Notamacropus eugenii: one gene and its partners. The main gene of each other region encodes a partner of the protein of the gene in region 2 in a complex. Links are inferred from orthologs where the notes say so. Each region holds a gene or a part of one and is shown on either strand. Other genes may lie near its edges.

The links.
Region 1: EXOSC7 (region 2) and EXOSC3 share a complex: the UniProt entries of both Homo sapiens proteins name them as parts of the RNA exosome core complex. The link is inferred for Notamacropus eugenii from reciprocal best matches to the Homo sapiens genes EXOSC7 and EXOSC3.
Region 3: EXOSC7 (region 2) and EXOSC4 share a complex: the UniProt entries of both Homo sapiens proteins name them as parts of the RNA exosome core complex. The link is inferred for Notamacropus eugenii from reciprocal best matches to the Homo sapiens genes EXOSC7 and EXOSC4.
Region 4: EXOSC7 (region 2) and EXOSC1 share a complex: the UniProt entries of both Homo sapiens proteins name them as parts of the RNA exosome core complex. The link is inferred for Notamacropus eugenii from reciprocal best matches to the Homo sapiens genes EXOSC7 and EXOSC1.

The regions. Positions count from the first base shown.
Region 1 is NC_092874.1:316,499,447-316,507,322, reverse strand, and holds the start of EXOSC3 (exosome complex component RRP40), read right to left. Parts: upstream 3,194-7,876; 5' UTR 3,126-3,193; coding exon 2,817-3,125; intron 22-2,816; coding exon 1-21. Other genes in the region: uncharacterized protein, read left to right, coding at 6,054-6,095. UniProt on the Homo sapiens protein: Non-catalytic component of the RNA exosome complex which has 3'->5' exoribonuclease activity and participates in a multitude of cellular RNA processing and degradation events.
Region 2 is NC_092874.1:43,355,744-43,363,379, reverse strand, and holds the start of EXOSC7 (exosome complex component RRP42), read left to right. Parts: upstream 1-4,313; 5' UTR 4,314-4,452; coding exon 4,453-4,509; intron 4,510-7,636. UniProt on the Homo sapiens protein: Non-catalytic component of the RNA exosome complex which has 3'->5' exoribonuclease activity and participates in a multitude of cellular RNA processing and degradation events.
Region 3 is NC_092875.1:85,960,086-85,967,850, reverse strand, and holds the start of EXOSC4 (exosome complex component RRP41), read right to left. Parts: upstream 3,292-7,765; coding exon 3,121-3,291; intron 1,140-3,120; coding exon 933-1,139; intron 1-932. UniProt on the Homo sapiens protein: Non-catalytic component of the RNA exosome complex which has 3'->5' exoribonuclease activity and participates in a multitude of cellular RNA processing and degradation events.
Region 4 is NC_092872.1:214,259,604-214,267,946, forward strand, and holds the start of EXOSC1 (exosome complex component CSL4), read right to left. Parts: upstream 3,106-8,343; 5' UTR 3,000-3,105; coding exon 2,963-2,999; intron 2,872-2,962; coding exon 2,756-2,871; intron 2,575-2,755; coding exon 2,500-2,574; intron 1,490-2,499; coding exon 1,401-1,489; intron 638-1,400; coding exon 604-637; intron 1-603. Other genes in the region: palmitoyltransferase ZDHHC16, read left to right, coding at 6,694-6,936, 7,154-7,348, 7,544-7,632, 7,812-7,840. UniProt on the Homo sapiens protein: Non-catalytic component of the RNA exosome complex which has 3'->5' exoribonuclease activity and participates in a multitude of cellular RNA processing and degradation events.

The DNA of each region.
Region 1 (7,876 bases), about 270 Mb from region 2:
GTCTCCTTTAACCGGGACATACTGCAAGAGAAAAGTCACAAAAGCACAAGCATACAGACTTCTGAAAATTGAAAAAGACATTTCACCAGCAAACCCTGCCAACAGACTTTTACATTTCTGCTTTTAAAAGGCTGTATAATATTTTAACATTCAAGTATCAATATTTATAAATATGTTAATCTAAATATAGGCAATGCTCAAGTACAGGCCACATCCCTAAATGAGACCTCTTTGAAAGGAAAAATCTAAATATATATATATATATATATATATATATATATATATATATATATATATATATATATATATATATATGTATGTATGTATATCATATGCTGAAAAATATAACCTGTTTGAGGGCAGACACTGTTTTGTAGAGGTTTTTGACCTTTGGATATACAGGCAAACTTAGGAGACAAGTCATGGACAACAACTGCACAGAACAGACGGGCAGGGACAGGGTGCTGTCTTCAGAGAGAACGTCTGTACCAATGAGATCACTCAGCACTCAGTCCAGTGCCTTGCACACAGTAAACAAACGACTATTTGCTGAATTATAAATTCCAAATATACAGAAAAGGTACAAATCAAAATAAGATAATCCCAGTGATAAATTTCTTCTCAGTAATTAAGTTTAGCTTCAAACTATCTCAAATTGAGCTATTTATCCATTAATTTTATCCAGATAACATTTATCCACTGAGTTATACATTTCTCCATATAAATATCCAGTTATGTTTATTTTTCTGGCATTTTAGAAAAATATTTTCAGAGTAGAAATTTGGGCTACTTGGCTAACACTGTCCATATACCATTCCACTCCACACAGTGCATAGTAAGCACTTACCAAGTGCAATTCACCAAACACTGACCTACCACGTAGGCACTGAGAGAGATACAAAGGACAGATAAAACCCATCTCTGTCCTCATGGAGTTTACCCTAGAAGAGTATCACTCATGGCACCTCTCTCCTTGACTACTGTAAACCCCTAACAGGTCATCTTGCTTCTTGTGTCCCCCATCAGCAATCCATTCTGAATATTCTCCTCCTTCTCAAATGTTTACCTCTGTCTCTCCTTTACAGCCATCATTCCATAATCTTATTGGAATCTATTACTATGCTTCATCTATGAACACATTATTTGTCCTTTCCCACAGTGAGCACAAGAATTTTGTGGCTTTTATCTCTTTATTTTTTGAACCTACCATAATGGCTTGTATATAGTAAGCATTTAAATACTTGAAGTGAATTGTATTTGTTTAAGTTATAAGCAAAATGCTACCTCATGGAGAGAGGAGACAATTAACAATTGGGTGATGGAGGTGCTGCAGAAAATCCCTTAGTAAGTATTTGTGACATACACTGTGCTGGGCACGAGATACTGAGACAAAAATTAAATAACCCCTGACTTCAAGGAACATATAATAGATTAAGAAAGACTGTATGCAGGAAGTAGCAGTAAACCCAACTTTCAGGGGTGGGGGAGGTGATGGGTAAAGGTCACATTTCAGGCCCTGACAAAGGAGGGACAGTGGAGAACATGTGGTTGTCGTTTATCCTCTCTTTTGGACATCAGCAAGGTGATGCCGTGACTTGCAAGTGAACTGGCTTTAAGTGAGGGAGGGCTGAGCGAAGTCACCAGCTTCACCAGGATATAGATGAGGAAGACTGGAGGTGGCCCTGGATGCAGAGGGATACCTTGGCCTTTTTAAGCTAAGGTCTTTAGTAGGTCTCAGTTTGACTGAGACAATGCCCCCAACCAGTGATTAAGGCCAGGTAAAAAATGGCCCCTTTCTCCTAATTAAAAAAAACAAAACCCAATCTGGGAGGGAAACACCCTCAGAGTTTCTGGCCCAAACAGAAACAATTACAATTTATGTTGACTCTGGGCCACCCAGGTCAAAAAGATGACCACTAAGTGGGGCTTGGGACGGACCCTATTGTTGGTCAATCATGGTCTTTCAGAAAGGAATCCAGCCAGTAAACCCCAAGGTATCTTGCTAGGTTTGTCATCAAAATTTACATTCTTTGGGGCAGAGCATCTGCAGGTAAGGATGTGACACCCCATGTGCATGGAGGAGCTGCACCACCCAAATGGAACTGGCCAGTTGGGTGCCCAGCAGGGCTGCTCAGACTACTCGGAGGTTGTTCTGGAAGAGGACTATGAATGACGTCAGGAAGATGGTGCCATGGCTTGTTCGTGAATTGGATGTAGGCGAGGGAGGAATGTGCCAAGTCACCAGCCTCACTCTCTCCTCCGGGGCCTGAGTCTAATGGCACAATACGGACTGGAAGGGCCCTCAAGAGAATGTGTGTGAGCAATTATTACCTGAACAGCAGGGCGGCATCAAACTTTAGAACGACTCTTAACTGCTGGCCTAGGAAATCTGAATTTTACTCAGTAATCCACAGACGCTAAGGTTTTAGGTGGAGAAGTCACAGGACTAGACATGCACATTTGCCCCTTCCAGTACGCCCCAGCCAGGCTCGGGGCAGTGACTGGCAGAGAGGCCTTCGGGAGGGCAGCGTTCACCCCTGGCTGGTGCGGAGGCACGTGCCAGGGAAGGGGAAGCGCAGCCGGAGCCCGGAGAGCAGAGCAAGGGGAAGACGTCTAAGAGCAGGGGCGCCGGCCAAGGGAAATGGGGAGGCTGAGGCCGAGCCCCAAGATTAAAGCCGGGCTCTGCTTGTGCTAGGGGAGCCCTCCGGGGAGGAGCGAGTTCGCCTCTCCCATGTACCGGCCAGGAGGCCGGGATCCCGCTTGGGGCCGTCTCCGCGTGTTCGAGGCCGGGGCCGGGCCGGGCCTCCTCCACTTACCCGTTTCTGCTGGGAGTCCACCCAGTACACGCCGCCGCCCCCTCCGCCGCCTCCGCCGGGCTCCCTGTGGCGGAGCCGCCCGCACTTGGTGACCAGCAGGCGGTCTCCGCAGCGCCGCAGGCCCGGGCCGCACACCACGCGGGCGCGGGCCCGCACGACCGACCCCAAGCGCAGCGTCTGCTCCACGGAGCCCTCCGTGCCCGGCCCCGCCGACTCGGGCAGCAGCAGCTCCTCCCCGGGCAGGACCACCTGCCCCAGCACGGTCCGCGCCACCCGCGGCCCCGAGCCGGGGATCGGCGGGGCGGCCATCGAGCAGCCGCTGCCGCTGCGGGGCCTTCCACAGCGACCCCTGCAGGACCCGACGTCTCTAGCCCCGGAGCAGAGCAACCCCACATCCGCCACAGGTGGCCCCGCCCCTTCCGCTCAGGGTACACGTCACGTGAGGAGGAGCGGCCTGGCACAGCTCTTCACCGCCCCGCCTTTACGCCGAGGCGCCACACCCCGCGGGAAGGAGGAACGGCTCCGGCCCCGCCCCCCCACTGTGGTTCCATTCCACGTGACTAGAGAACTGTTCCTTCCCACAAGGCCCATGCGCCAGGGCTCCGCCCCTACCTTACCTGGACCCTGGAGCCCTCCCAGACCCCGCCCCTTGCACAGTAGTTCCAGCCCACGTGAGTGAAGGCACCCGCCCCTAAGGCCCCACCTCTTTCTGCTGTGTCCATTCCACGTGATAAAGAACTGCTGCCCCCCCCCCCCCCCCCCCCGCCATGGCCCACCCTTCCACTCCGACTTAGCTCCTCCCACCCTCGGGACAGAAGAGGAGGAGCAACCTTCCGCCTTCGTGGTGGCACTGTCCTGCATGAACTAAGGAGCAGTCCGGGACTTTCCCCCAGAAGCCCTTCTCTACTCCGGACAGTGGAGGGGGCGGAGCACCGAACCTCCACGCCCAGTCCTAGCCCCACCCACTCCAGACCCGCCTCTTCCCCTGTGGTTCCATTCTGGCCCCGCCCCTCTCAACTGTACACCGGACTGCTCCTAGACCCCGCCCCCTTTCTCCCTGGCCCCGCCTCCCTGGGCAGCTCCCGCCTACCCAAGTCCAAGACCAGATTGTCATCCTCTCAGTGCTGGATCCCGAGCTTTTACCCCGATTACCCCGGTACCCCACGTCCCTCCTCTCTAAGTAGGACTTTTCTCAGAGTTCTCAAGGGTTTTTTTATGGGGTCATAGGACTTATCTTAAATGGGCCTTCTGAGATCATCTAATGACTAGATTATATGTCTACTCCAACTCTCATTTTATCTCATTTTGTTTCATTTTGTTTTACATCAAGGTCAATTCTGAATATAATTCTTCTCTTTCTCTACCTTTGCTTCTTTCCAAGTGAGACTTCCTATCCACAAAGGGGAAAAAAGTCCCATGCAACAGTTCATTCCTACAGTTTCCCATCTTTCCAACTAAAACATTTTAGTATTTTACAGAAGGGACTGAGGCCCAGAAAGGGAAAGTGATTTGCCTCAATGGCACTCCAATAATAAATAGCTCAGTTATGATGCACACCCCGAGTTTCTAATTCCAAATCCTAGGTTCTTGCCTCTCTACTACTGTGTCTCATCAGCAAAAAGCTGTCTCCTGAAAGGAAAACTCATTAGATTGGACTATGAAATAATTTATCTATAAATTGCTAGTTTTTTAGTCAAGGATTATACAGTAATAGTACTGTATTCTCAGAAACCCAGAATCCTAGACCTTTTGAAAAAGTCCCACCTTTTGAGACATACAACCACACACACACACATACACACTTCACAGACGATACAGCAAAACAAGGCATCAGAAAGTGAGAAAGTTTAATTTTTTTTAATTATTCATACCCTTAAGCAAAGCTAGCAAGTGTGTAAGGCCACATTTGAACTCACATTCCGGCCTAAAAAAACCCCCACATATTTCATTTATAGACACAAATTATTCAAATTTAATAAAATTAAAAAGCACAAACAAAATAAAAAATGGCTAAAATTAGGAGAAAAGATGGATTGGGGGAAATTTTATATAGTTTTTTAAAATCAATTTCCCTTGCTCTATCAATCATCTGTAACATGTTTTTAGAGCTGCTTGGAGTAGTGAGAGTAAGTGACTTGTCCATGATCACACAGGCTGGCTCATAACTAATTAACCTTTTGTATTTTTCAGCTAGGTAGCCCAAGGGATAGAGGGGTAGACTCAGAATCAGCAAAATCCTGAATTTAAATTGTGCCTCAGACCCTCCCTAGCTGTGTGCCCATGGGCAATCTTTCTCAAAATTCCTCTTTGTAAATGGGGAAGTGTTTTGCCAACCTTAAAGCACTATGTGCATCCTAGTACTTAACCATTTCTGGCTCTAAGGCCAGCTTTCCGATGCTTCTCCTGCCTGAAACATCTCTGAGCTGGACTTCCAAAATTCCCAGAGAATTCACTCCTGAAAAAGATCTGTAGCTAAAGGAAAGGAAGAGTTTTCAGGAATCCTCTTAGGCTACTTCTGCATCCCCATCGGGTGATGACAGATGAGGGTGGATGGGGCATTTCCTAAAGAGAATACAAAATGCAGTCGCTTCCTAGAAGCAGGCTGCTCATCTCTGTATCACCCATGGCACTGATGGGTCCTAGCGGCTGCACGGTCACGGTTGGGGTCAGGGTCAGATCCCTTCCTTTCCCTCAGCCTGGGTTTGGAATTCCTAGGGCTCCAGGTTGGGAAAGGAACACAGATGGAAGGAGAGAGAGAGAGAGAGAGACAGAGAGAGACAGAGACAGAGAGAGACAGAGACAGAGAGAGACAGAGACAGAGAGACAGAGACAGAGAGACAGAGAGAGACAGAGACAGAGAGAGAGAGAGAAAGAGAGAGACAGAGAGACAGAGAGAGACAGGGAGAGACAAAGACAGAGACAGAGAGAGCAGGGAAAGTGGAAGCGTGCCAGGGAGAAAAAGGGAAGAGAGACGCGGGTAGAAAAAGGCTGGAAGGGAGGGGGAGAGAAAGTAAGAGAAGAAATAGGAGGGGAGGAGAGAGGAAGGGGCGGGCGAGACGTGGGCGGAATTGCGCCGCCCCTCCCTCCGTGGGCAGACCCTTCCCGGGGAGGGCAGAGAGGGGCCGAAGGGGCGAGTCCCGCGGGCGCAGCCTCACTCGTCCTCTCCCCGCGCCCGGACGTAGGCTCGGGAGGCGAGGGTCCGGCGGCGGGAGCGGAGCCGAGCCGGGGCGCTGCGCCATGGGCCTCCTCCTCCGCCTTCTGCGCCCGGGGCTGGCGTCGGTGAGTTGCGGGGCCCGGGGCCGCGGGAGGCCGGACGCTGCGCCTCGCGGGGTGGGGGGGCGCCCTCCGACCCGGCCGCGCGTGCCTCGGTCACGGCCATGGCCCCGGCCCCCGCCCCGGGAGCCTGGGTGGTGCTGGTGCCTTCCGCGCCCATCACACACGCACACGCGGCACACACGCGGGCGCTCACATGCGCGTCCCTGGCTACAGTCTCCCCTTCAGGGCGCTCACGGTAGTTCTAGGGGTCTCCGGCCCTCGGGCGGCGGCGGCCTCGTGGCCGTGTGGCCGGCCCGCCTTCCCTTCCTCGGACTCAGTTTATCTGTGGTATGGACGAGGCTGGAGGTGACCCCCCAGGGTCTCAGGTCGCTGGTGGGAGGAGCCGGTGATCGCCCCCTTGCTTTTTCAGGGTGGTGTCCCGAGTCTTAACGCCGTTACAAATGTGAGGGATCAAATTTTAGAGGAAGCTGGGTCTCAGAGAAATGTCTGCCCACAGATGGTAAAGGTTACAATTCAGTTAAATTGTTTGTTTGTTTACAGGGGGCGGGGCTTAAGCGGTCTTGTTGCGCCAGCTTTGCTCCGGGAGCTTTGTAAATATCTCATCGGATTGTCACCGCAGCCTTTTGAGCTCGTTCTGTTACAGCCACTCTGTAACAATGTAGCAGCAGCTACTTCCACAGATGGTGAAATGACCTGCCTAAGGTTACACAGTTAAGTGTCTGAGGTCACCTTGGAACTCGTGTCCCTGCTTAACTCCAGACCACCTTTTATTGTGCATAGTTATGGAGAGGCAGTCTGGTGTAGGGAGCAGAGAGCTGAGTAAGGGGGCAGGAAGGCTTAGGCTCGAGCCTGATCCTGAGACCTTGGGGAAGTGCCCCCAGATAAGGTTTTAAGATCAAAAATAGCAAATCAAGTGGCAGTTTGCATCGGTAAGAGGGTATTTCCTCGTGGGCATTTCCCTTTACCAGTTGTCAGAATTCCCATGCCAAGTCCAGGACAGTAAACCTAGTCCTAGATTAAGAAGTTAAAATGGCAAGTAGAACATGATGTTGTTGGGTTATTTTTTTCAGTGACCTTATTTAGGATTTTCTTGACAAAGATAACTGGGGTGGTTTACCATTTCTTTCTCCAGCTCATTTTACAGAGGAAGAAATGAAGGCAGACAGTGACTGACCCAGGATCATACAGCTAGTAATTGTCTGAAGTCATATTTGAACTTCCTGACTCCAGGCTGTAACAGCAAGCATTTTGGCACCCAGGAGGTCTTAGATCTGCTTTTCTAAAAGGAAAGCAACTTGAAGAAGGAGTAAACAATCTTTAATTACATATACCAACAGACAGAGCTTCTAACTGACCGTAGGCAATACGTACATGTTACCAGAGAGAGAGAGAGAAGCACAGACATCCGGGTTTTCAAAGTGGGGGGCACAAGAACCTTCTTCCAAAAACTAAGCCCCAAAGTAGAACCTCACCTCAGAGTATATACATATGTGTGTATGTGTATATATACGCTTTTCCAATATATCTCCTGATCCAGTGCATCCTTTGCAATCATCAAGAGGTGTGGGTCTTCATACAGATTCAGTCACCCTGAATAGTCCCACCAAAGGCCTCTCAACTGCCGGGGAAGAGTTTGAACTCCCATTACACATGCCCCTTTATCCACTTCACCACCTGGCTTTAGTAATGGCAATATAATTGGTGGTATAATCACCTCAAACTTAACCCTGTTCTGTTTAATTCATTAATAAAATCATAATTTGATAAAATCTGATATTGATCAA
Region 2 (7,636 bases):
GCTACATTTTTGACACCTCTGCTCTAAAACAGCAGTTCTTCTCCTCTTTTTTGGGTCTTGGATCCTCATTCTGTCAGTTTGATGAAGTGTACGGCCCTTTAGAACATTTTTAAAAACACACACAAAAATATATAGCTTTATAAAGGAAACCAATTATGCTATAATGCAGTTATCAAAATATATTGAGTCCAGGTTAAGAATGCATCTGTCTAAAGACATGCATTCCTCTCTCCCTATGCAGCAGTTCTGGAGTCAGCCTTTTCTTCCCACCTCCAATCCAGTAGACATCCCGGCTAGGAAAATCTTACTTTGAGACATCTCTACTTTCTCTATACCAAATATCCATCTTCTGTTCCTAAAATCCAGTCTCATATCACTCTAACCACACAAGTTTTCTTTAGTCTTTCAATGCAACACACCTCTGCAAAAAACATACCCCTACACGTCTGCAGCATGGGGACCCTTGGAGGTGACCTTCCCTTTGCTGACTTGACCTTGTCTGTATGTTGTCATCTGCATGTTGTCTCCCCCATCAGACTTTGACATCCTTGTGCCATTCTTTGTACCCCCATTTCTTAGTACAGTGCCTGGTACATAGCAGACACCTAATAAATGCTTATCGACTGACTAGCTGATGTATTCCCACTCACTCATTTTACAGATGAGGAAACTAAAACACAGTGAAGTTAAGTTACTTACAGCAAAGGTCACATCATTCGAAGTTGTGCTGCCTGAATTGACTACAATCAGGTCATTTGACTACAAAATCAATACTCCTGCATGGCCACTTTGTATGGGAGGAGTAGGGAGAATGATACCATCTGTCTCCTCTTCCAGTAGCACAAAGTCTTAGATAGTAAAGAACCATGTGCTTTTTACCTCAGTTCAGTGAGATGGAGCCTTGTGGATACTCAAATATTAACCAATAAAAAATTCTACTGAGAGCTGAGGCAAGGGGGAGGGTGGGAGGGTTCTTAGCAGGGTGCATTAAAGTGCTTTCAAAGGTGATTAAAAATGGCCAGATGGGAGTACATAGGCACCAGATATTTTACTGGAGAACATTCCATACTGACAAAGTTTGGAGGAAAGAGTCGTTTTACTTTGGAGAAAAAAGAGGATTCAGTGAGAGTATGAGTTATTAAAACTCAACTTTTTCCATAATAGCTCTTTAAAATCCACTTTTTTCCTTTGACAAATATCGTTTGAAATTTCTTCTGCCCAGTCTTGATTACTAAGAAAAATGGATTCCCAGGGTGATCTTAGCCTTACCTTGCAGGTATTATGCATTTAAAAGACAATGCCCACCTCAACCACCACAGCAAAGCCAGGGCTTACGTTTCCTTGGAGCACTGCCTAAAACTCACCACCTACCCAGAAAAATGCTGGAACTAAGAGGCCTGGCTTGTTGGCTAGTGGAGATGGCTACAGCTGGGCCTCCTCAGCCTCTCCTTGCCCGGGCGCTAGGTCCTCAGAAGCTCCTTTCTCAACATTCATTCTGCAGCCCTCCCTCGAAGACAGGCAAGCACCAGGTTTTCAAGAAATGCTGCTAGTGCCTGCCATGGGTCACACGATATGGCCAGATTCTATTTGCCACCCCCTCCCCCCCAACCTTCCCCAGTCTCCAAGCAGACCATGGGCAGCAGCCTCCTACTGGGCACCATGTCCATCATGAAGTGCTCTTCCACTCACAGCTGTCCCCTCCCACTATCAGTCAACTCACAAAAAGACCAGGAAGTGAGCTGCAAGGAAGTATTCCTCAGTTCCTTCCACAAACTACTCTCCCCTTAAAATCTCAGAAATCGAGAAAAGAACACCCCCACCCATCTTATCAGATTTAGGTGGTGAGAAGTAAAAAGGGAAGAGTCAAAGCATGGGAGGAGGGGAGGAAAGCCTGGGCAGAAGAGCTTCAGATGGAGGGGGGTATTCATCACTCAATCCCAGACGCACAGAGCTGGAAGGGACTTCAGAGGCCCTATCATTCTAATAATTAAATAGTAATTGCTTCTCTTTTACCCAGGAAACCTGAGGGTCTTCCTCTCCCAGTTCAATTTTTTTTTAAAGGGGTAACTATTTAATTGAATGGGTGTATCTCACTCAAAGTGAGAACATGATAAGACCTTAACCTGAAAGGGCCAGGGTCTCACATTGCACTTATCAGGCCACTGGATGCTGATGGCTCAGGAGAAGAAAGCGAGGCCAGTGACCTTGCACAGCCCTCCCTCACTCAGATCAAAGTCAACTGCAAGTCATGTCATCGTCTTGATGTCACGGTCCTCTTCGAGAACAAAGGACAAACACAGCAACAATCATTCTACCAGTAAAGAAGAATCCTCTCTATAGCACATGGGTCATGCAGTATTGGCTTTGAGACGTTCAGAGATTGAATTGTTGGGGTGTTTTTCCTCACTCCAACCCCATCCCCCCACACAAGAGCCCTTCAGTTGAAGATGGCCATCCATGTTGCACAGTCCCTTCTTTCCCCCTCACTCCTGCATCTTTTACCTGCCTTTTACCACCCTAATCCCTCCATTCTTTCTGGAGAGTATCTTGTCAAAGTCCTTCCTAAAAGGAAGGGACCCTAAACAGAACATAAGATCCAGATGTGATCTGGTGAGAGAAGAAAACTGTGGGTTGAGTACCTCCTTAGTTCTGGGCACTGTCTCCCTAAAGTGGACCAGTATGGCATCAGCTACTGTGGTCAATGTATATGACACCATTAACTCATGCTGAGCTTTGTCGATGTAATTAGCTATATATGTCATTTACAAACTTGATAAGTTTTTAATATGTCTTTATCCAATTCACTGACTAGAAAAGTTCAAATAGCACAGGACCAAGGAGGCAGTGTGGCACAGTGCAAAGAGGGCTGCATTTGAAGTGAAAAGGCCTGGGTTCAGCTCCATCTGTGCAACCCTAAACAAGCCCCTTATCCTCTCTGGGCACCGGTTTCCTCCTCTATAAAGTGAGGGGGCTGATTAAATGACTCTGAGGTTGAACTAGTACTAAATCTACTCTACTATCTACCCAACAAACTTTTATTCATCAGCATTTACAACATGCAGAGCATTCTGTTAGGCAATGAAAAAAAATCACCTACATAAAGGTTTAGAAAGGCTTTCAGCTCAATCTTGGGAGATAGATCTGTATTAGTCTTCCCACTTTATAGATGAGGGAGCCGATTTTGAGGAAGGTTAAGTGATTTGCTCATGGTCACACTGCCAAAAGTCAGACTGGTTCAGAGATTTGAATCTTCTCAAAATCCAGGACCTTTTCGCCTTCGAGCGGAGGTGAAGAAAGGAAAGAGGGGAGGCAAGGGCAGGGGCACAAGGCTGTGGGGGTAAGGGGAGGCAGGAAGAGGGGCAGGGAAAAGAGGAGCGAGGGGAGAGACAGAAGGTGATAGGGGATGCGGAAGAGGCAAGTTGAAAAAGGGAGCAAAGGATAGGGCAGGGGAGAGACAGAGATCGAGGGAAGGGCAAGGGGAACAGGGACCAAAGAGTAATGCGGGGACGGGGTGAAAAGTGGAGGCGGCAAGGGGGGAAGGGCAAAGGGAGGGGCGAGGGATGATAGTGGAGCGGGGGAAGGGAAATGGGGAACAAAGGGAGGGGCAGGAGAGTAATAGGGGAGCAAGGGAGGGGCAGGAGGTAATAGAGAGGGAGGAGGGAAAGGGAAGCAAAGGGAGGAGCAAAGAGTAATAGGGGAACAAGGGGAGGGGCAGGAGGTAATAGAGAGGGAGGAGGGAAAGGTGAGCAAAGGGAGGGGCAGAAGAATAATAGGGGAACAAGGGGAGGGGCAGGAGGTAATAGAGAGGGAGGAGGGAAAGGGGAGCAAAGGGAGGGGCAGGAGTAACAGAGGAGCAGAAGGGGGGGTGATAAAGGAGAGGGGGAGGGGCAGCAGGTGGCACGCGAGCAGGGGGAAAGGGCAGCTGAAGAGGAGTGCCGGACGGAAAGGCAGCAAGTGTGGGACCCGGGAAAGTGGAAAGGGGTGAGTGGTGGGGCAAGGGGAGCACGCAGCCCCGGGGCAGCGGCTCGCTCCGGCAGACTTCGCTAAACTCCGGCGCCCAGGAAGAGACTCCCGGCCGGCCGGCAGGTGCCCCGGCCGCCCTCTGGCCCTCGGTCCGTCCCCAGCTGCCCCCCGGCGCCGCCGCCCCCTCGCCCTCCCGCCCTCGCTCTGGGGGCCGCTGCCGCTCCGGGGCTCGGGGGCCGCGGCTCCCGGGACTCACCCAGACTTCGGGGCGGGGCGCAGGAGCAGCCCATCGGGCTCTCAGGCGGGAGGCAGCAGCGGCGGCAGGAGCGGCCGCCGCTCGCTGATGACGCGGCGGGAGCGGCCCCAGGGGCCCTGGCGCGGGCGGATGACGCCACAGTCGTGCGGGGAGCGCGACGTCCGGAGCGGCGCCGAGGCGGAGGGCTCTGAGGCGGCGGCGACGGCGGCCGAAGCGTGGCCGGACGGGGCCTCATGGCGTCCGTGGCGCTGAGCGAGGCGGAAAAGGTGTACATCGTGCACGGTGTGCAGGTAACGAGCGAGGAGGCGAGGCGAGGCCCGGACCCCTCCTGCCTCGGCCCCGGCGCGCTCCCCCTCAGCCTTCCCAGACGCCCCCTACGCGCGTGCGCCCTGCCCTCCCTTGGTCGTTCGGAGGCTCTGCGCGCGCACGTGGGGGCCGGTGTTTGGGGAAAAGGCTTAGAGATGGTCTACTGTAGAGCTGGAGTAAGGGATCTCAGACTACCCTTTCTTACAGATGGGGAAACTGAGGCCCCAGGAGGAGAGTAAGTGCCTGGCCCCAAGCCCCGTAGAGTTAATTAAGCTCGGAGGACTGTGGTGAGCCTCCAGTGAGATGTTTGTCAAGCTCATTGTAAACGTCTGGACGTGTTAGTGTTCCCCAGAGTCGGTCAGGCAGCAGAGAACTGGAACCCAGACCGTCCACCTCTGGGTCAGATAAGCTGCTTTTGTCTGTTAAGCGCTTCTTCTGGCCCTGGCCTCCCCTTCCGAGGTGGCCTCGGCGCTTGGCGGCATCCTGATGTTACATTGTAGCTGCTCAGGCATCCTCCTGTTACATTGTAGCTGGGCTCGAAGTCGGGGTCCGGAGGCTGGCACTTTCTCTGACTCCCCGGAACTGTGGTTTTTATCCCAGACGAAGAGACCTACAGAGCACCTTTCTTTAGCTCCAAACGTTGCCCGGGTTAGCTTCTCCCATCAGTACCATAAATTTCCCAGATCCAGCTCGGGTTGAAGGAAACTCAGAAGTTCCTGTTAGAAATAGGGTAGGAATGTTGGACCCAGAAAGGGAAAGTATTCCTGCCTACCTGAGTATTACCTCCCCGAATAGCAGATGATGTACTCTTTGTCAGAGTTCTTTGAAAAATAACAATTTTATAGGTGGGTGAGGTGATGTTGTGAAAAAGATTTCACAGTTGGCACAATTGCATTGGAAGCTAAGACAGAGCTGTCAGTTACCCCTAGGATTTGGCAATTTACGTACCAGAAGGTGTTGGGATGGTTTATTTGGCTTGAAAGTTGGCAATCAACCTCTGAAAGCGACATCCCTTCCCCCACCCCCCCCAAAAACCAGAAAACCACAACAAAATGTCAGCCTTTCTCTGCTGTCATCCTTACTGTCCCAAGCCACTGCTACATTCTATTGCCTCCTTTCCTCTCTATTGCCCTTCTCCTCCCCTCCATATAATCACACTTAAAGCTAGATGCCTGCCCAACTCATTATGTTTTATTGGCTAGGATCATTAGTCCTCTCTGTTGTAGATTAATGCAGATTTGTTTTTCAATTGTTCCTCTCTGCCTTCTCCATTATCTCTGTTTTATAGCTGAGGAAACTGAAGTACACAGTAGCAATTTACCCTGGTTGAATTTTCAGCCTTAAGAGAAATAGAGAGAGCTCGATTCCATCTTTTTAATCTCCAGTTTATCCAACTGGACCATATGCATTCTCCCTGGGAAGCTGGGGAAGTGGAAAGGAGAGCTATTAATGAAGCTTCACTAAACAAATCACCTGGGTCTTCCATGGCAGTTCTTTGCATGTGCCACATTTAGTCACTTGACTTCCTCCACAAAAGGATGCTTTTTCACTATACCAGGTTTGGTTGGATGTGTCTGAAATTATATCTATTTATTTTGCCTCTTATTTTCTTTTTTTCACACCTTGCTCATCCCCTCTCACTGGGAGTTTAGTCACCTTGGGTCAGATGTCCATTCTGCATTTCGGTATTTTGTCTCTAGTAGTGTCAACAAGGCATAGGGTGTTTTTTTTAAAAACAAACCCAACAGTTTGTTAATCCCCCATGGTTTATCCTTTGCCCAATCTGTCTAGTCTTGACAAGAACATGTCCCCTAATTCTGTGGTGGCTATTTTTAATGACCTTGGCTGTACAACAACATTTCCACAAACTATTGCATGGAATCCTACTGTTCTATGTGATAGGGACAGAAGTTCCATGAGAGTTATAATTATACTTTTCTAAAACATTAAATATGAAATTATGTCTTTACAAAAAATTAAATACAGCATCTTTCAGTATGAAAATAGGGTTAATTTTCTCTCCTGCTCCATAATTTCATAATTTCCCACTCTATTTAAAAGTTTAAAAATTTCTTCTTAAGGGAAGTTTATTTTGAGGTTTGTTGGTGGGGGAGGCAGGGAGGCAAATGGAGCTACACAGCTAGTGTCTGAGGCTGAATTTGAACCCAGGTCCTTCCGACTCCAGGGCTCGTCCTCTATCCACTGCTCCACCTAGCTGCTCTTGGAAAATGTTCTTTAAAGTTTTATTAATACTTTTACTGTCACTTTGTTATATAACATTGCCTCATCCCTCTCTTGTAACTACCCCTCCCCCAAATAATCCACTTATACAAAATCAAACAATACAGCATTTGTATCTGATGATGTAGGCAACATATGCTCCGCTACTCCATTGTCTCTTCCTAATGGGCAGAGAAGTGGGTTCCAATGTCTGTCTTCTGGTCACAGCATTTACTCTTACCTTTGTTTTTGTGTCAGAGTGGTCATTGTGTACATGTTAGAATCACAGAATTTGGAAAGAACCTCAGTGGCCGTCCAGGCCAACTGAAATCTGATCAGTTATTCTTCTGCTTTTGCTTCGTTCAACCCTCCTCAGGTCACTTTGGCAAACCTTTGTTAAGTGCCTACTGTGTGCTAAGTGCTGGGGATGCCAAGACAAAAACAAAACAGTTCCTGACACCAAGTAGCTTAAATTCTGCTAGGGGGAAACAACATGGACATGGATAAGTAAAGAAAAAGTAATGTTTTTGGTGAGGGAGGAGCAGAGAGCACCAAAAAATAGGGAAGGTTCCATCACTTACCAGGCTGAGTGCTCCCAGCATTGTGATCAGCCTGGGCAGTGGCATGGAGGAGACATAGCAAGGAGGCCATTTTGACTGGAATGCAGAATGCATATAAGGTAGGAATAAGAAATCAGTCTAAAAGGTTAGGACCAGATTGTGAAGGATTTTAAATGCCAGATTGAAAAGGTGTTGGTGGTTGCTTTACTCTTGGAGCCTCTTAAGCAGGGAAATGCCGTGGAAAAGACCCATATGTGACCACTGTCATTATGTAGCAGCTTTGTGGAGGATGGGTTAGAGAGGGGAGAGACTGGAGGCCAGAAGATCATTA
Region 3 (7,765 bases), on a different chromosome or scaffold from region 2:
AATCAGGGATGGTTTTATTTTTATCTTCATTTCCTAGGCCCTGGTACTGTACCTAGCACATAATTTCTTAATAAATGCTTCCCTTCCACCCTCCCCACCTTCCACTCCCTTCCCAAATTGGCTCCTTTCTGTCTACTCCATCTGCATTTAGAAATCCTGTCTATTGTTCCAGGCTCAGTTCAAGTGTTACTTCTTCCAGGAAGTCTTTCTTGATCCCCTTCTCATCTTGGCCAAGTTGGGAGTGCCACCATCTGAGATCCCGAAGCACACTTTCAACACTCACAACCCTAGTCACACCCCATCTCATACTATGGTTATTTGTGAGAATAATGCTTCCACATTCCATCTAGGAAGCCCCACCACAGCAAGAGTGATGTCTCCTCTTTTGATGCTGTATCTACTCCTGAGAAGAGTATCTGGGCTCAGTGAGGGTGTGCAGACTACAGTGGAGCCACTGGAGGATGAGAGGCAGATCTATACTCTGGTATCCTCTCCAGTAGCCAGAGCTTCTTGGCAGTAGAGGATAAAGAGCCCATTGAGTTTCATGGGACAAGGACCATGTCTAGCAAGGGTTAGGAGACCAGGGGTCAAGTCTAGCTTTACTACTAAATTGACTATTGGGCAAGGCGCTGCCATCTCTGGATCCCCTTTCCTTTTCTGTCCCATGTCCTGGTTCTGATACTTTTACTTTGTATCACCCTCACAGGAGCCCTGTGAAGGAGATGGGAGGGCATTATCACCCCTGTCTGACAGATAAGATAGATAAGTAAACTAAGTGGTACTAGAAACCACGTCTTCTGACTCAGGGTTTTCTCAAGGAGACAGACCTTCCTAAATACCTACCCCATTTTATACCATCCTGACCTTCACTTATCTAAGCCAAAAGTCTACTACTTCTAACCTTTTCCTCCAATACAAATTTTCATCTTTACCTGGACATAGATGTCAATCTGGGAGCGAGGGTATAGTTGGGTCAGGATGGCAGCCTCAAAGGTCTGCCTCAGCTGGAGGCCCATTTCACAGGCCTTGCGGTCCCCATGTGGCCGTCGCTTCCGTTCCCCAGTGCTGAAAGTGGCCATGCTATACTGGCAGTTCACCAGTGCTCGGTCTGGCAGTGCTCTTGACCGAGAGCCCCGCATCTAGGAAAATTAGGGAGGGGAGACATAGGAATTTATTAAGTAGGAGCTGTGGGAGTCACCCCCGCTCCCCCAACCCTCCCTTTTATCAAGCCCTGGAGAGTAGCTTCCTAGTCAAATAAGTGACAAAGCCAGCATATTACTCCCAAGGAGTAAGGAGACCCAGGTTTTAACAGAAACCCTACTAACTTATGTGCCTTTCAGCAAATTCCTTAAGCTCTCTGGGAAGGACTTCTCATTTTTTTAAGTGAGGAGGGCAGGGTAGATAACCTCTAAGGTCTCTTCTAGGTCTAACCTTCAGTATTCTTATAATACTCTATCTCCTGACACACTGGGATCATCCTAGAGTGTTTATTTCAATATTCAAGACTCCTCTACCCCACCAATGATCTTTTCCTTTCATTAATACCCATATTCACTTCAATACATAATGACCTGTCACCTCATAGATCTTGGGCTTATCAACATCCAGGGAATTCTCCTTGATTAACCTTACCCCTGCCCTTCATGGAATTAATTCCACCATCCTCATCCTATTTTCCCAAGGGAATCAGGAAGTGCCCAGGATTCTTCCTTATACCCTTCTACAATGGACTATTCCAAGGAAGGGCCTAGTAGGCTCTCTATCTCCTTTTCCTATGGGCCTTCAGCTTCTGTTTAAATAAAGGGTCCAGAATGGGCTAAATGATTTCCTTCAGGGAAAGTCTCAGCATATGTAGCACAGCTTGTCTTCCGGAGTCAGAAGGGTTTGACTTTGTCTGGCAGTGGGAGATAATTATTGCATCTACTATCATACATTATCCCCCACCCCTACGGTATACGAGTGAACTTGAATGGCACACACACACACACCCGGAACAAAAGATAATCTCTGGACCAGATTGCTCTCAGGTATTCATAAAAGCTCAGTTTTCTTGAGGATGGAACTTCTGCCTAAGTTCTGGGGGTCCAGACTGGGGAGGCCAATATGTGAGCAGATGAGCATGTTGACTTGTGAGTTACAAGAGGCAGATACATGGCAGATGTAGACACATGTTGTAGCTCACATGACTGAACGACAACAATAAATAGTGCCTATATGTGCCAGTAGTAGTATTATCCCCAATTTACAGCTAAGGAAACTAAGGGTAACTTTCCCAGGGTCACACAGCTAGTGTCAGGTGTTCCCAAGCCCAGGCCCAGAACTCTGTCCACTGTTACTTAGTAGCCTGAAACTTACAGAGTAGTCAGATTTGCCTTTGGCAACATGTACTACTATAAGGGGCAAAGCAGGCTTAGGTCCGTATTGACATGAGTTTCCTTGCTGGGAGTCCCATATATCAAAAAAATCACAGGTTCAGCCCGATCCAACATAAAATAATCATATACCTCTCCTTTCTATTGTGTTTGTCCTCGTGGCTTCCAAGGGAAGTGTGAGGACTGTTAGAAAAACTTTATTTCCCAAAAAGGGAGACTTTCCAAAACATAGGTTTGACCACGTTAACTCCCTGCTCAAAGTGCTTCAGTGGCCCTCCAGGATCAGCCACTGGACAAGCATTAATTATCTATTTACTTCCTGCCACCCACTTTGCTTACACCTCGCGGTCTCCGAGCCAGTTAGGGGAGCAGCGAGATGACTAATGCGGTGATAACCAGAGGAGACCGTAGCAGCGACTCTCGGCACCACCGGGGGGGTGGGGGTGGGGTGGGGGTGGGGGGGGGGGTGGGCGGTGGAGAGCAGATTCAGAAATGACGTCATACCAAAATCCCGCAGCCTCAGTTCTCAGTTTTCTCCCCTAAAGAACCGCACCTCCCCCCCATCCCCATCTCAACCTCCAGGCTTTCTCAAGGAAGCTCGCGATTGGTCCGGGACCCTGTGAGGTCACGCCCCCTTCCCAATGCAGAGGGAGCTCTTTTTTTCAAGAAAGGCCGCGATTGGTCCGAGACCTTGTGAGATCACTGCCCTCTTCTCCCTCCCGATAAGCATCCTGAGGTCGCCTCGCACCTCGTGGGGTCCATAGACCACGGCCAGCGCCTTAGTGTTGCCTTGTTCGATGTAGGCCGAACCATCTGCCTGCGCGAAGACGCCCATCCGTGCCTGGATCTTGCGCAGCTCTCCAGCCCGCCGCCCGTCCACGCGATAACCCTGATCCGACAGCAGCTCCAATCCCGCCATGCTTGTTGTAGCCCCTTCTAGCCTATCCTGACTACACCTCCCGGCGGCCCCTACTACTTCCTGCTTCTATCCCCGCTTTCCGGCGGCCTCGCGCTTCCGGTTTTCTGCTCTTTCTGACACCGACGGGGTCATGGGGTCTAAACCAAGGAAGGACATCAGAAGACGTCTAGTCCAACTTACAAAGGAGAAGACTGAAGCCCAGAGAGGCAAAAAGACTTAGTGGAGGCCACCCACCTAAGAGACAAAGCTGGGATTGCAAACAGCGCCCCCCTCCCGCTCAGACTACATTTCCTAGCGGCCCCTGCGCCGCTGCAGTTTCTAGCTTCCGGTCCTTGGCGCTCAGCCCTTAGGCGGTCCCCCGCCGGCGCGGACTTCGAGCGCAGATTCCTAGCCGAGGATTAAAGACGCTGCTGGCCCAAGGGTCGGAGGATCCGTTTTGGTTTCCAGTACCGCCTCTTGACTCTTGTTAGCTAGGGGACTTCGGACAAGCCGCTTCGTCTCTCCAATCCTCAGTTTCCTCATCTGTAAAATGAGACAGCTGAACTGGCTGCCCTCCAAGGTCCCTGAAGACTCTCAATACAGTGTAATACGGTAATTGATCATCTGAAGAATGAGAGGCAGTGTTGACAGCGCCTGCTCCCCACCCCCAATATCGTAGGGAAGCCATTGAGTCAGCTCTGAAGGACCATCTATGGAAGTTGATCTTATGTGATATCCAGTTCAATCGGACAGCCTTTCTTAAGAACCTGCTCTGTCCCTCAGTCCGTCTACAAACTGTAATTAAGTACTTTACCATGTGTTCAGACACCGTGCTGAGCGCTTGAGATACAGAGAAAAGCGATGATACTCCCCCCCCCCCCCTTTAAGAAGTTGACTTTCTGATGGGGACGCGTCATGCCAAAAATCATCTGTTACAAGATACATGCTGTGTAAATTAATGGTAATCCCAGGAAAGGCACTAGAAGTAGACAGGACTCCGAACGGCCTCCCGCAGAAGGTGAGATCTGAGCTGAGTCTTGAAGGATAGGAAAGCCACGAGTAGAGGGAGCCAAGCGTGCCAGGTATGGGGAAGAGCCATTGCAAAGGTACAGAATCAGGAGATGATTTTCAGTCAGGGGATAGAACGTCCCTGAAGGAAGGAGCAGTGAGAAGGCCAATATGCTTCTGGATTATGGAAGGGAATGTCAGGCCCTGGGGGGACAAATACAGTGGACATTGTGCAGGCATAAATTACATGTATGCATGTTTAAGTAAGCACAAGATGATTTGGGGGGGCACACCAGTAAATGGGGTAACGGACCCTAGATGCTGGTACCTATTGGACATGAGTGATAGCTAAGGTGTTAAAAAAAATGACAGGATCCAAAAAGATGTTTCAAATTTGGGATGATTGACTAAATCTAACACTAAGAAATTAATATGAAATGATGGAAGTCCTAAATTTGGGTTCCAAAAATTATTTTAACAAGTCCAGGAATTTGGGGATAGGCAGGGGCAGGGTCAGAGACTACGTCAGAGCACTTAAGGGAAGGGAAGAGGCACGTGTATTGTGCCTATTATGGGCCAGGGCTGTGCTAGGAACTTTTAAAAAATATATATTATCTCATTTGATCTTCAGAATAACCCTGGGAAGTAGGTGCTATTATTATACTCATTTTATAGTTGTTATTGTGTTTGTCCTTTGTTCTTGAAGAGGACCATGACATCAAGATGATGACATGACTTGCGGTTGACCTTGATTTGAGTGAGGAAGGTCTGTGCAAGGTCACCAGCCTCACTTTCTTCTCCCGAGCCATCTGGGTACAGTGGCCTGATATTCATCAGGATAGCTGGAGATGACCCATAGTTGAGAGAACAGAGACAAATAGAGGTTAAGTGAATTGCCCAGGGTCACACAGAAAGTTTCTGGAACTCAGACCTCAGCTCCATCTAGCTGCTTCTAGTTAATGTGAAAAGTGAAAAGTATGGGGGAGGGGGAAGGAGGGAGGTGTTTTTCTAGATTATAAACTGTATGCACCAAAATGTGAAATTGCAACCCAAAATGCTAGGGGAAGAGTGCCCCTTGAATGCCTAGTCCAGTTCCAGGGGCACCTAGTTGGAGGAAGAGGAACCTAGGCCAACCCAAAAGGTCCAGTAATACTCCCCCGCTGCTCCCCCGTACCCTCATAAATCCTCTTGTGTCTCTGAATGAGGGCTGGGACCAGATCATTGGAGACAAAGGTGTAGTAGAGTAAAATCCTAAATCCAAATGGTATAACTTTGTTGAAGATTGCATGCTAGACCTCAAAGATTATCTAGTCTAACTTCTTGTGTTATGGAAGAGCTAACAGAGGCCCAGATAAAGTGAATGCCTTGCATCTGGCTACTAAGTGAAAGAGGTAGGAGAATGAAAAGAACATTCAGTCATTGACTATTTTGTACAAAGCAGTGGGCTAGGGCAGATAGAGTTTAGACAAGAGACAGTCCCGTCTTTATGGAGAGAGTTTCTACTCTGAACAGTCAGTCAGCAAAGATTTACTCTGGCTTCTATGTGCTAAGTGTTGGGGACACAAAAGTAAACCAACTGTTCCTGACCTCAAAGAGCTGCCATCTCAATGGGTAAGACAACATGTAAATAGATAGGAGATACATACGGATTAAATGAAGGTGGCCTCAGAGGGAAGGCACTAGATGGGGAGAAATGGTAGAGGGGGACATGAGGAAAGGCCTTTTGCCAAAGGTAGAATTTGAATTAAGTCTTGAAGGAAAGCCAGGAGATGGAGGTGAAAAATGAGAACATTCTTTACAAGGGAGATAACCAGTGAAAAGGTATGGAGTTGTGACATATAAAAAGTTCAAGGGACATAGTTTCTGAGTAGTTAAGCATTTTATTAATCATGCTGCCCTATAATTAATAAAAGGGATCAGTGACACTCTCAAATGCCAGAGACCCTTCATGGAACCCACCCAATGCTTATATGCCCTTGAAAGAGTGGCTGTTCCTGAGGATGGCGATCTACCTTTATTGCTGGGGGTCTGTGACTTTGGTCTTGTCATTTATTTCCAAATCACCCAGAGCCTTTGGCAGTTTAGACAAAGGCTGTATCCCTTTGCCCAGATCTGCCTGAATGGAATGAATTGGGCCCTGAATTCACCTTAGATTAAATTCTTTGTAAGGTTTTCTAGTTGGGTGAGGCAACAAGTCTAGGTAAGGTAAATTTTTGAAAAAGATCAGGGATCTCTGCAGTAATCAAGAGATAATGTCCAATGAGGGAGAGCAAGGAGGCTAGTGTGGCTAGATTAGAGCATCTGTAGAAGGGAGGAAAGGATAAGAAGATGGAAGGGACCTGGTTCTAAAGGGCTTGAAAAGCCAGACAGGATCTAATCCTACAGCTAAAAGGGAGCCATTGGAATTTATTTGAAGTTGGTATTGAGGAGGATGGTGATGACATGGTTGGATCCATAGTTCAGGAAAATCACTTTGGTGGCTGAATGGAGGATGGATTGGAGTATGGAAAGATTTGATGCAGGCAGACCCACCACAGCTTATTGCACTGGTCCTGGGATGAGTTAGTGAGGGTGTGCACCAGAGTGGAGACTATGTCAGGAGGGAGGAGACATAGGAGAAATGTTGTGAAGGTAGGAATGTCCAGATAACACTTTGGATATGTGGGGTGAGGAAATGAGGATAACACTAAGGTTGCATGCCTAGATGACCAGGACAATGGTTCTGTCCTTGACAGTAATAGGGAAATTTGGAAGAAGGAGGGTTTTAGAGCAAATATTTTGGACACAGGTGTCTAAGGGACATCCAATAGATTTCCAGTTGTTGTTCATCTTTTGTTTTCAAAGACCAATGATATCATGAGGTGATGTCTTGAGTTGTGCATGAATTGGATTTAGGTGAGGCCATCAGCTTACTCTCTCTTCCACAGTCATCAAAGTCCAATAGTAGGACAAAAGTCAGGATGACTGACAATTGCCTGGGATGCAGTGGATGACCTTGGAATCTTCAGTGTCTGATTGAGCTCTAAGAGCTTCACAATACTTCCTCCATAGCACTTAGAACAAATTGTTTTCATCCACCCATTCTGCCAGGGGAAGTCTTCATATGCTTGAGATAGATATGCTCTAATTCACTGATGAGTTTGAGGCCTGTCAGCCACCCTCAACCTGGTTTAGGCCATCTGCCAAGAGAGTTTTACTGGGGTGTGGTTGCCGTGCTTGTTACAGCTTCTTGGAGCCACAGGTGAGAGGTGAACTTAGAGTTGGTGAATCCAGGACAGAGCTCAGGGCTGGACAGATCTGAAAGTCATTTGCATAGAGATGATAATTGAACCCTTGGGAACTGATGAAACTGAGAAAGTATACAGTGAGCTTGACCAGGAAAATCTTACAAAGGAGACCTCAAAGTAGCTATACTAAGAGGAGAAGCAGAACGAAACAGTGTCATGAAAGCTAGAGGGAGTATCTAGGAGGAGATGGTCACCAACAG
Region 4 (8,343 bases), on a different chromosome or scaffold from region 2:
GTTAGCAGGAGGTTCTAACAGCACAGATCAACCATGTTCAATTCACTAAAATGAATGAATCCCATCTTTCTACAGATTTTTCTAGTTCCAAGTGACCATATGGAGCTAGGAAGTGGATCTATTTGCTTTGGAATTAACCATTTCATTTGAATTCAGCTCATTTTCTCCCAGCGGGTAGAAATCACACCTGTTCATCTTAATCCATTTTACTCTTTAAGGAACAAAGTATCTATTTAGAAATCTACAGTGCCAGGACCTAGGATTTTGACCTAGCTAAAAGCTCCCATATCTGGCTTAGAGTGAGAACCCATACTTAAATTTGAAGAAATGTTACTAAGTATTCTAGAAAAATGTACCAAATTAGAAGACAGAGCAAATTGTTCCTCTCTGGTCAATAAACAAAAAATCCACAGGGAGAAAAGGACTTGGGGGGCAGTGTGGCAAGAGGGGAAATCATTGTAGTAGTAGAAAAATGACAACTTTAGTATCACCGGGGACTCTTTCTCTGATATATTTGTCCTCAAATATGGTCTTTGAAATTAATTACAATAACAGGAACTTTGAGATTCCATAGTTATTAAGTTTTTTTTAAAAAATCATTACCTTGTCTTTTTCAGTAGCTCGAACATCTTCCTTCCTGTAAGGAAATTAAAAAAAAAAAAAGATTCTTCAAGAGAAACAACGACTTGCTTTCTAGGACCAAGGCCAGAGTAGCTGCTGGAATTGGGACGAATCATATTTGTTAATTAGCTGCCATCCAGAGGCACAAGATGGAAACACATCCCAAGATTACATCTTGGGCTAAGACCTCTATCCTGTCACAAGAGGCCCACATAGAATAGCCAGCAATTGTTCCTAGGGATGGGTCTGGAGAGAAGGAAGTTTCAGGATAGCTAAGACATGCGAAGGTATAAGAAAACTTATTAGCCCCTCCTGGAAAGAAGTGGCAGAAAATGACTGCACAGCTATTCAGAATCCTAGGATGGAAGAGACTTTCAGAGATTGAAGAATAAATGATCTTACATCCATGAAAAATGATTTCTGTCCCCTTTTCAAGGGAAAACTCGGGAAAAAGAACCCTACCCAGTAATTTCCTCCATTTCTAATAATCACCAGGGTTGGCCTATACAACTGCAATTACATGTAATCTTTAGGAGAAATAGGGCCTAACAAACTTACAATCAACTCTGGATGAACACATATCACCCTGATGCCTGCTAAGCACATACTTCAGTCAAATTTACTACCCTAGTCCAAACTTTCTCTGTGAAACACAAGAGAGATCACAGAGAAAGGAAGGCAGAGATATTAAAGAAACATGATGGATGTAGATCTGTAATATTTTGTTTAAAATCCCAGACTGTTTTGAAGCAAAATAAATAAATTTAAAAGCTTCCCACCTGATAGTGCCTCTAAAGGAGTTCTTGAGTGGTGTGGATCCCACATACAATATATGTACTTTGGCAAATCGAGAATTAATGCTGGAGACCTGTGCCATAGAGAAGATAATGGATGGATTAAAAATATTAGCAGCTGTCAGATAAAGAAATCCTGGTGATATATGGCAGAGATTTCTAAATAAGTAATTAAGGGAAATAAATTCTACTCTTAACTATCCTATTAACTAGGTAACTCACTTAATCTCTGTTTCAGTTTTCTCAATAATTTAGGGAAATTTGCCCTATTTCAGAATATCACATGAAATAAAATGAAAGCATGTTGAGAAGTAAACAAATGTAAGGCATTCCAGCAGGTTCGAATCCTTGGACAATTGAGCCATCGGTCTTTTAGGACCTTAACGAATCAAGAATATAGACTTAAAAACCTGAAATTCTGTAAGCTGTCTTTTCATTTGCAAAATTAAGACTGGGACATTTGTATGAATTCAATGAGTTCTTGTGAAGACGGGAATAAGCATGCACAGAAAACGTTTTATAAAGTGCAAAATGTTGTATGGGGTGTTCCAAAAGTCTTAGTGAAGTTTTAAGTTATTAAATCTTAGACACGGGAACCTATTAAAGCTTAAAATTGCACTAAGCCTTTTGGAACATCCTGTAGAAATGTGAATTAGTACCACTGCTCCTCAGTCTCTTTCAACATTACAACACATACTGTTCTGCTGGGGCTATTTATGAAGATACTAACATTACTCTAGCTTTCATCCTGGAGAAACTTTAGTGACACAAAATTAACTCATAGTCTCTTTCCTTAAAAATGTCTAATGAGATCTGAAGTTCGCTAGAACCTCTGAACGGTGAGGATTTTTGCTTTCGTTTTTTTCTCCTAAAGAATAAATCCCCCAGCTTTTAGAATTCAGAACCGGGTACCCACCGAGTAGGAAAATGACATTCCCTGTAAAGTAGAAAGGGGTTTTTACAGTCTAAAAGGTCACACGATGGAACAACCAGCAGCCCTGACCACTACTGCAGCCGGCGGACGGAGGCAAAGCCCGGCGCCCTGGGCATGTGGGAGCTCGGAGGCGGGTGGGCATTACCGCACCTTGCACGTTACGATCGTTCCCACATCTGGCAGCAGCTGGGACTCGGTCTCTCTGGTCACTGACACCACCGGGAGCTGCAGAGGGGACGAAGAACAGGGGCCTGAGCTCTACTCGGTGCCAGGTCAAGGGGGCCACGGGGCGGATTCAGTGGGGCTAGAGGCCCTGGCTCCGTCCGGCGGCCGACCCCAGGCTTTGGGGACGCAAAGGCCTACGGGGCTCCCCGGCGCCCCGCGAGGCCCCGCAGGCCGGCCTCACCTCGCCGTTGTCGCTCGTCTTCACCAGGCAGCCGGAGAGCGAGGAGAAGATATAGCCGTGCCGGGTGTAGGTGCCGCTGCCGGGGCTGGCCTCCTCCAAGTTACACAGTCGTTCGCCTGCGGAGGACAAACGTGGTGTCCATCCCTCCCATCCGGGCCCTCAGCGGCAGCTCGCCGGGCCGGCAACCCTTCCTCGGGGCTCACTCACCTGGGACGCAGTACCGCATCGGCGGCGCCATAGCCATGATCTCCCAACAGCCATTGCGAGAGACCGATCGTCAATCCATTGGTCGAAACGAAGTTGAGGGCCCGAGTAACAGAACTGCCAATTGGCTGGCGTACCACGTGGCTTCTCCAGGGCCTCCTCAGAGATTTCCCTCTCCTCCCAGAACTTCAGCTCCCAGGGTACCTTGGGAGGAAGAAAAGAGGGCGGGCCGCCAGGCTGCCCACGCTTGCGCCGTAGGGGAGGCCGGGGTGGTAGCGGTCCTGGCGCCGCCGCAGGTGGGGACTGGGGATGGTGGCTCTGGCTGATTGGGGCCGGGGTCGGCTTCGGCCGAGGCTGCTGTGAGCCGTGAAGTCCTCGGGGCTGGACTGGGTCGTTGCCCGACAGACAGGAGGTAAGGCGACCTCCGGGGTCACAAGGTTCTATCTCCCACCTCTTTCCTTTCCCTCAGGATCTTGGGCCCCCAGCCGCGGGGGGCGTGGAAGTACGGGGCGTGAGAGGGGTCAGTGGCTGCGCCCGTGCGCCCTGGGCCGTTCCTGAGGCGGGGGCCGAGGAAGGGGGGCTTCGTCTTTCCCGGGATACCTCCAAGCCCTTGGGGAGGGGGTGGAGGGGCTTCTTTATGCTCACTGCCCCTCCCCCTCCGTGGTGGCTCTGCTTCCCTACCTGGCACTCGGGGCTGGCTGGGATGGGGCGGACCGAGCTCGGTGACGGGGTCACGTCGCTGCCTCCTTGTCTGTCCACCCGCGGGCCCCCTAGAAAGTTACTGACCTCTGCGGAGCCCCGTATTCGGAGGCAGAGCCCTGCATCCCCGAACGCTCTTTATCCAGTTATCCGCGGACCTGCCTTCAGGTCAAACGGGGAAGTTCGTCTCTGGGCTGGTGACCCTAGAATGGACAGATGGCGGGGCAACGCTTCCCTCCTCCATGCCTTTGCCCAAATGGAAACCTATCCAGCAAATGTAGAGGGGGAGATTAGATGGAGAACTGCAAGTTTAGGGGCTGAGACAGGATTGTGAGACAACTTCCTCAGGTTACAGTCTGTGGAGGAGTACTTCTGGTCACTCTGATGTTAGAGGAATGGAGAGTTTTAGGATAGTGCTGTTTAATCTGAATTTATTCCCTTTAGGAAAGTCATCTAGTGTTTTTTTTTAAAGTTATTTTAGTTATTTTATTTAGTTATTTAGTTTAGTATAAGCTATTTGTTATTATCTACCAATTAAAATGGTGTAGTGTATGTAACCCAAAATGGGATTTAAAATTTTTGCTTAGTTTCAAAATGCAGAGGATTTTTGTTGTAGTTTTTGCATTTGAATACGCCTGTCGGTTGTTCTGGAAATCCTTACTTTAAATCAAATGACTGTAGAGTCAGCTAATTAGTATTTTTAATTATTTTATTTTTATTTTATTAAACATTTATTTAAATATTTAATTATGTGCTGGGCACATGGGATCATGGATCTCCCATTCTAACGTAGGATCCCTGTAAACAACAAGGTATCCATAAGATTTAAACAGAGTAGATAGAAAAAAATCAGAGGGAAGGCAGTAATCGCAATAGGGGAACCAGGAAAGGTTTCCAAGAGAAGATGGGATTTGAGCTGAGTCTTGAGGGAGCTTCAAAGTTCCTGCATTTTCTATCCTACGATATTTTCTTCCTGATTGCCCTGATATCAGGGAGTTGGAGAGCTTCCTGATCCTGATGGACAGCATCACTTCTGACTGCTTTAAGGTTCTGGCCAGAGCAGTACTACTTGCTGGCTCTTTCCCTCTCTCTCCCCCCTCCCTCACCTTCTCCCTCTTTCTCCATTTCTCTCTTTCCTTCGTTATCTGTCAGGTGCAGGAATAGGAGATGGAATACCTGTGTTTAAAGGCTTTTCTTGGGTGGAAGGAAGGGACACTGATCCAGTTACTGAACTGAAACCATGCCTAGATATGCAGACCTCCTCCGGTTTCTTCTGGGTTTCAGACTTCATTCTAAATAATTAAGTTAACAGAGTTGAGAGCAGAGTAGCACCCTCCTGCCTCCCACATGACAAATCCGATAATCTGCTCTTCCATAAGAGATAGACTCATTCACAAAATTGGTGCAGGTATCCACAGAAGTCTGTAGCTGAAGATATTGGTTAGGTGTCTTTTCCTCTTCCATTGCTGTATTATTCCACAGCCAGAGAGAACGAAAATATTTGAAGATATTAAAGAATTTGGAGCGCTGGGGAGATAAGCTAAGAAGCAGGCCTGTGAGGGGAAATCACTGTAGAGAAGGCGTTTCTGCTTTGAACAAAGAGAGTGTGTGTGTGTGTGTGTGTGTGTGTGTGTGTGTGTGTGTGTGTGTGGTGGGGGGGCAGTTAAGAGGATCATTAGGTTGACTTCTAACTAATTCAGGAAAAGACTAAACTTCACAGGCCAGATTATGTTCTCAAGAAGGATCTGAGTCTGAGAAAAGGGACACAGGCAACCTTTAAATATGTGACATCCCCAGTAAATGTCACTTCTAGGGTGGAAGTGACAATATCCTACTACCCATATCTTGGTGGTTCCCTTAGCCTCTGAATAGGGAGATTAGAAAAGATGTCAAGATTTATGTCACAAAAGAGGCAGGAGAAAGAACACAGGACTTGAAATCCTAAGATCTGAACTTGAAGTCAGGCCATGCTACTTCCTGGTTGGGTGATCTTGGGGAAGTCCTTTTATCTCTGAGTCCTTTTCTTCATCTGTAAAATGGGGACAATCATTTTTATTCTCCATATCTCTTCGGGATTTTTGGAGAATCAAAGGAGATACAGCTTTGTAACCACAAAGTGCCATGAGTTGTTGTCCCAACATCATGTGATAGTTGGGACTGAGAATGGAAGGTGCAAAGCTTGGGAATTTTATGCTGCCAGGCTGAGGTCTCTGAGCCTGTAAGAGCAGTCCAGAAGATGAGAACTGATAGCTCTCTCCAAGGATATAGATGGCATCAAAGACCTTGGAACAGGATCCACTCCAGAATGCTTTCGTATACTGATGTGGCTAGTTTTAGCTAAAGAGTGGAAAGCATTAGAAGTGGGAGGTGAGTGGGAGGTGGGCAGGAGGGAGATCTAGGTGACAGGCAGCTTCCTCAACAGCTCTGCCATTGCAGAAGGCCACACGCTTTGTCACATTCTCTCCTTGCAGTGGTTTTGTTGTTCTTGCTGTTTAAGGTTTCCTCTGCCCTCTTGGTTCCTATTCTGTAGAGAAATCCAGAGGAAGACTTTGCTTGGTGCCAGTTATTTCTTTTGTCCCTCTTGATGCAAGAGGTGTCATTTAGTGGCGGGACTTACATCCTTCTTGTGTTAGTCTACTTCTTGTGTTAAGAGTAAGCATTGTGTAATGGAAAAACTGCTGGATTTAGATCTGGATTCACATCCTAACTTAGATGTGATTCTGGTCATGCTACTGTACCTTCCAGCCTGTTTAACTGGAAAGCAGGCATAATACTACTTTTATTACTTACCTCACATTTGGGAGGTTTACAATTTCAGTACTATTTGTTAAACATGTGAGCTCCTGTATTTGTATACTTAGTTAAGTTTGATTCTTCAAATCTAAGCTTAGCACCTCTATCCTGTGGTTGTTGGAATAAGTAAGTCATTAGGGGCAGGCTGAGTGTGACCTCAGAGAGCCCTTACTTGACTCACTTGTCTGGTGGGGCGCAGGAGTTTAGGTGTTCACCGCCTGTTTATCTTGCTGTAGGAGGCCATGCGAAGCCGCCGGTCCTTACTGCTGGGGCCAGCACGCCTATGCTTGCGTTTGCTTCTCCTCCTGGGCTACAGACGCAGATGCCCATCGTTACTTCGGAACCTTGTACTTCGTTGGCGCTATGGAAAAGTCTGTCTGCGCTCTCTGCTCTACAACTCCTTTGGGGGCAGTGACACTGCCATTGACTCTGCCTTTGAGCCTGTCTATTGGCTTGTGGACAATGTGATCCGCTGGTTTGGGGTGGTGAGTGTTGGCAGGATTATGTGGCTTGGGGTTAGCATGAGAGATGTGTGACTTTTGGGTGAAAGGATGGGGATAGGTGGCTTGATCTGAAGACTCCACAAAATACTTTACAAAACCAGGCTCTATTTGTTTTCCTCCTCTTGTACTGCCTTAGTTGTGGGGTGCCATCTTTCCATACTCCAGTCACAGATGAGTGTTGACTTCCTACTGTTGACAGGTCTTTGTGGCCCTGGTGATTGTACTGACGAGCTCCATTGTTGCTATTGCCTACCTGTGTGTCTTGCCCCTGATTCTCCATACTTACTCAGTGCCCCGAATCTGCTGGCACTTTGTCTACAGTCACTGGAACCTCATCCTTATCGTCTTCCACTACTACCAGGCCATCACCACACCTCCTGGATACCCACCCCAGGTAGGGCTCAGGGAAGGCACAGCAGGACACCAGGGTCAAACTAATAGGACAGGGAACCTAGAATCCTAGTAAAGGGGCAACAAGTTTTGGGAGCAGAACTTTTCAAGAATTCTTCCTTGTCACTGGTTTCAAAAAAAGGTCCCCTTAAGTAACTAGAATGTTTCTGAGACCATGACCAATTCTCTTCGGATATAGGCTAAGACTGACCTTGCTACTGTTTCTATCTGCAAGAAGTGCATTTATCCCAAACCAGCGCGGACACACCACTGCAGCATCTGTAACAGGTTGGCTTTTTCTCCTATTTCCTTGGTTTTTCTTTGGCCTTCGTACTTGCCCTTTGCCTAGAGTCAGGCAAGTTAGGGGCAAACTAATATAATCCCTAAAAACAGCAACTCTTGTTGAGCACAAGTTGCCTCTCATTATTTTGCTCTATGGTAATGCAAAATCCTTTTCCTCCTAACAGGTGTGTGCTGAAAATGGATCACCACTGCCGTATCCTTTTACCAAGACTCCCTGAATCCAGTGATGCCCAGCCAGCCTGTTCCTTTCCAAATCTTGATTCTGCCTCTTAAGCAGCAGGAGTTTTCCTAACCCCCTCCCCACCCACTACCAATGTATTTTAAAACACTCAGGAAAAAACACAGACTAAATGATACTTACTGGAGAACATGGCTTTTTACTAGGACAAAAAAACAGGCCTAGAGGCTTTGGAGAAATGTAGCCTCAGCTGTTCTCTCTGCAAAATTTGATCTTATGGGAGGAAGAAAGGCTTGGAAGCCAATTATTTCCTGAAGAAAAGAAATGAGCAGAGAACTGGACAGGCACTGTAGAAAAGTTCAGCTGTAGAGATAGGAATGTAGCTTGAGAAGGAGGTTAAGGATGCTGTTCTCTTGTCTTGGTTTGCTAGAGCTCCAGGTTCCTTCCCTTCTTCCCATAAGTACTCAGAATTGGCCAGAACCAGTGGCAACATTAAGATGAATGGCAGGGGCAGCTTG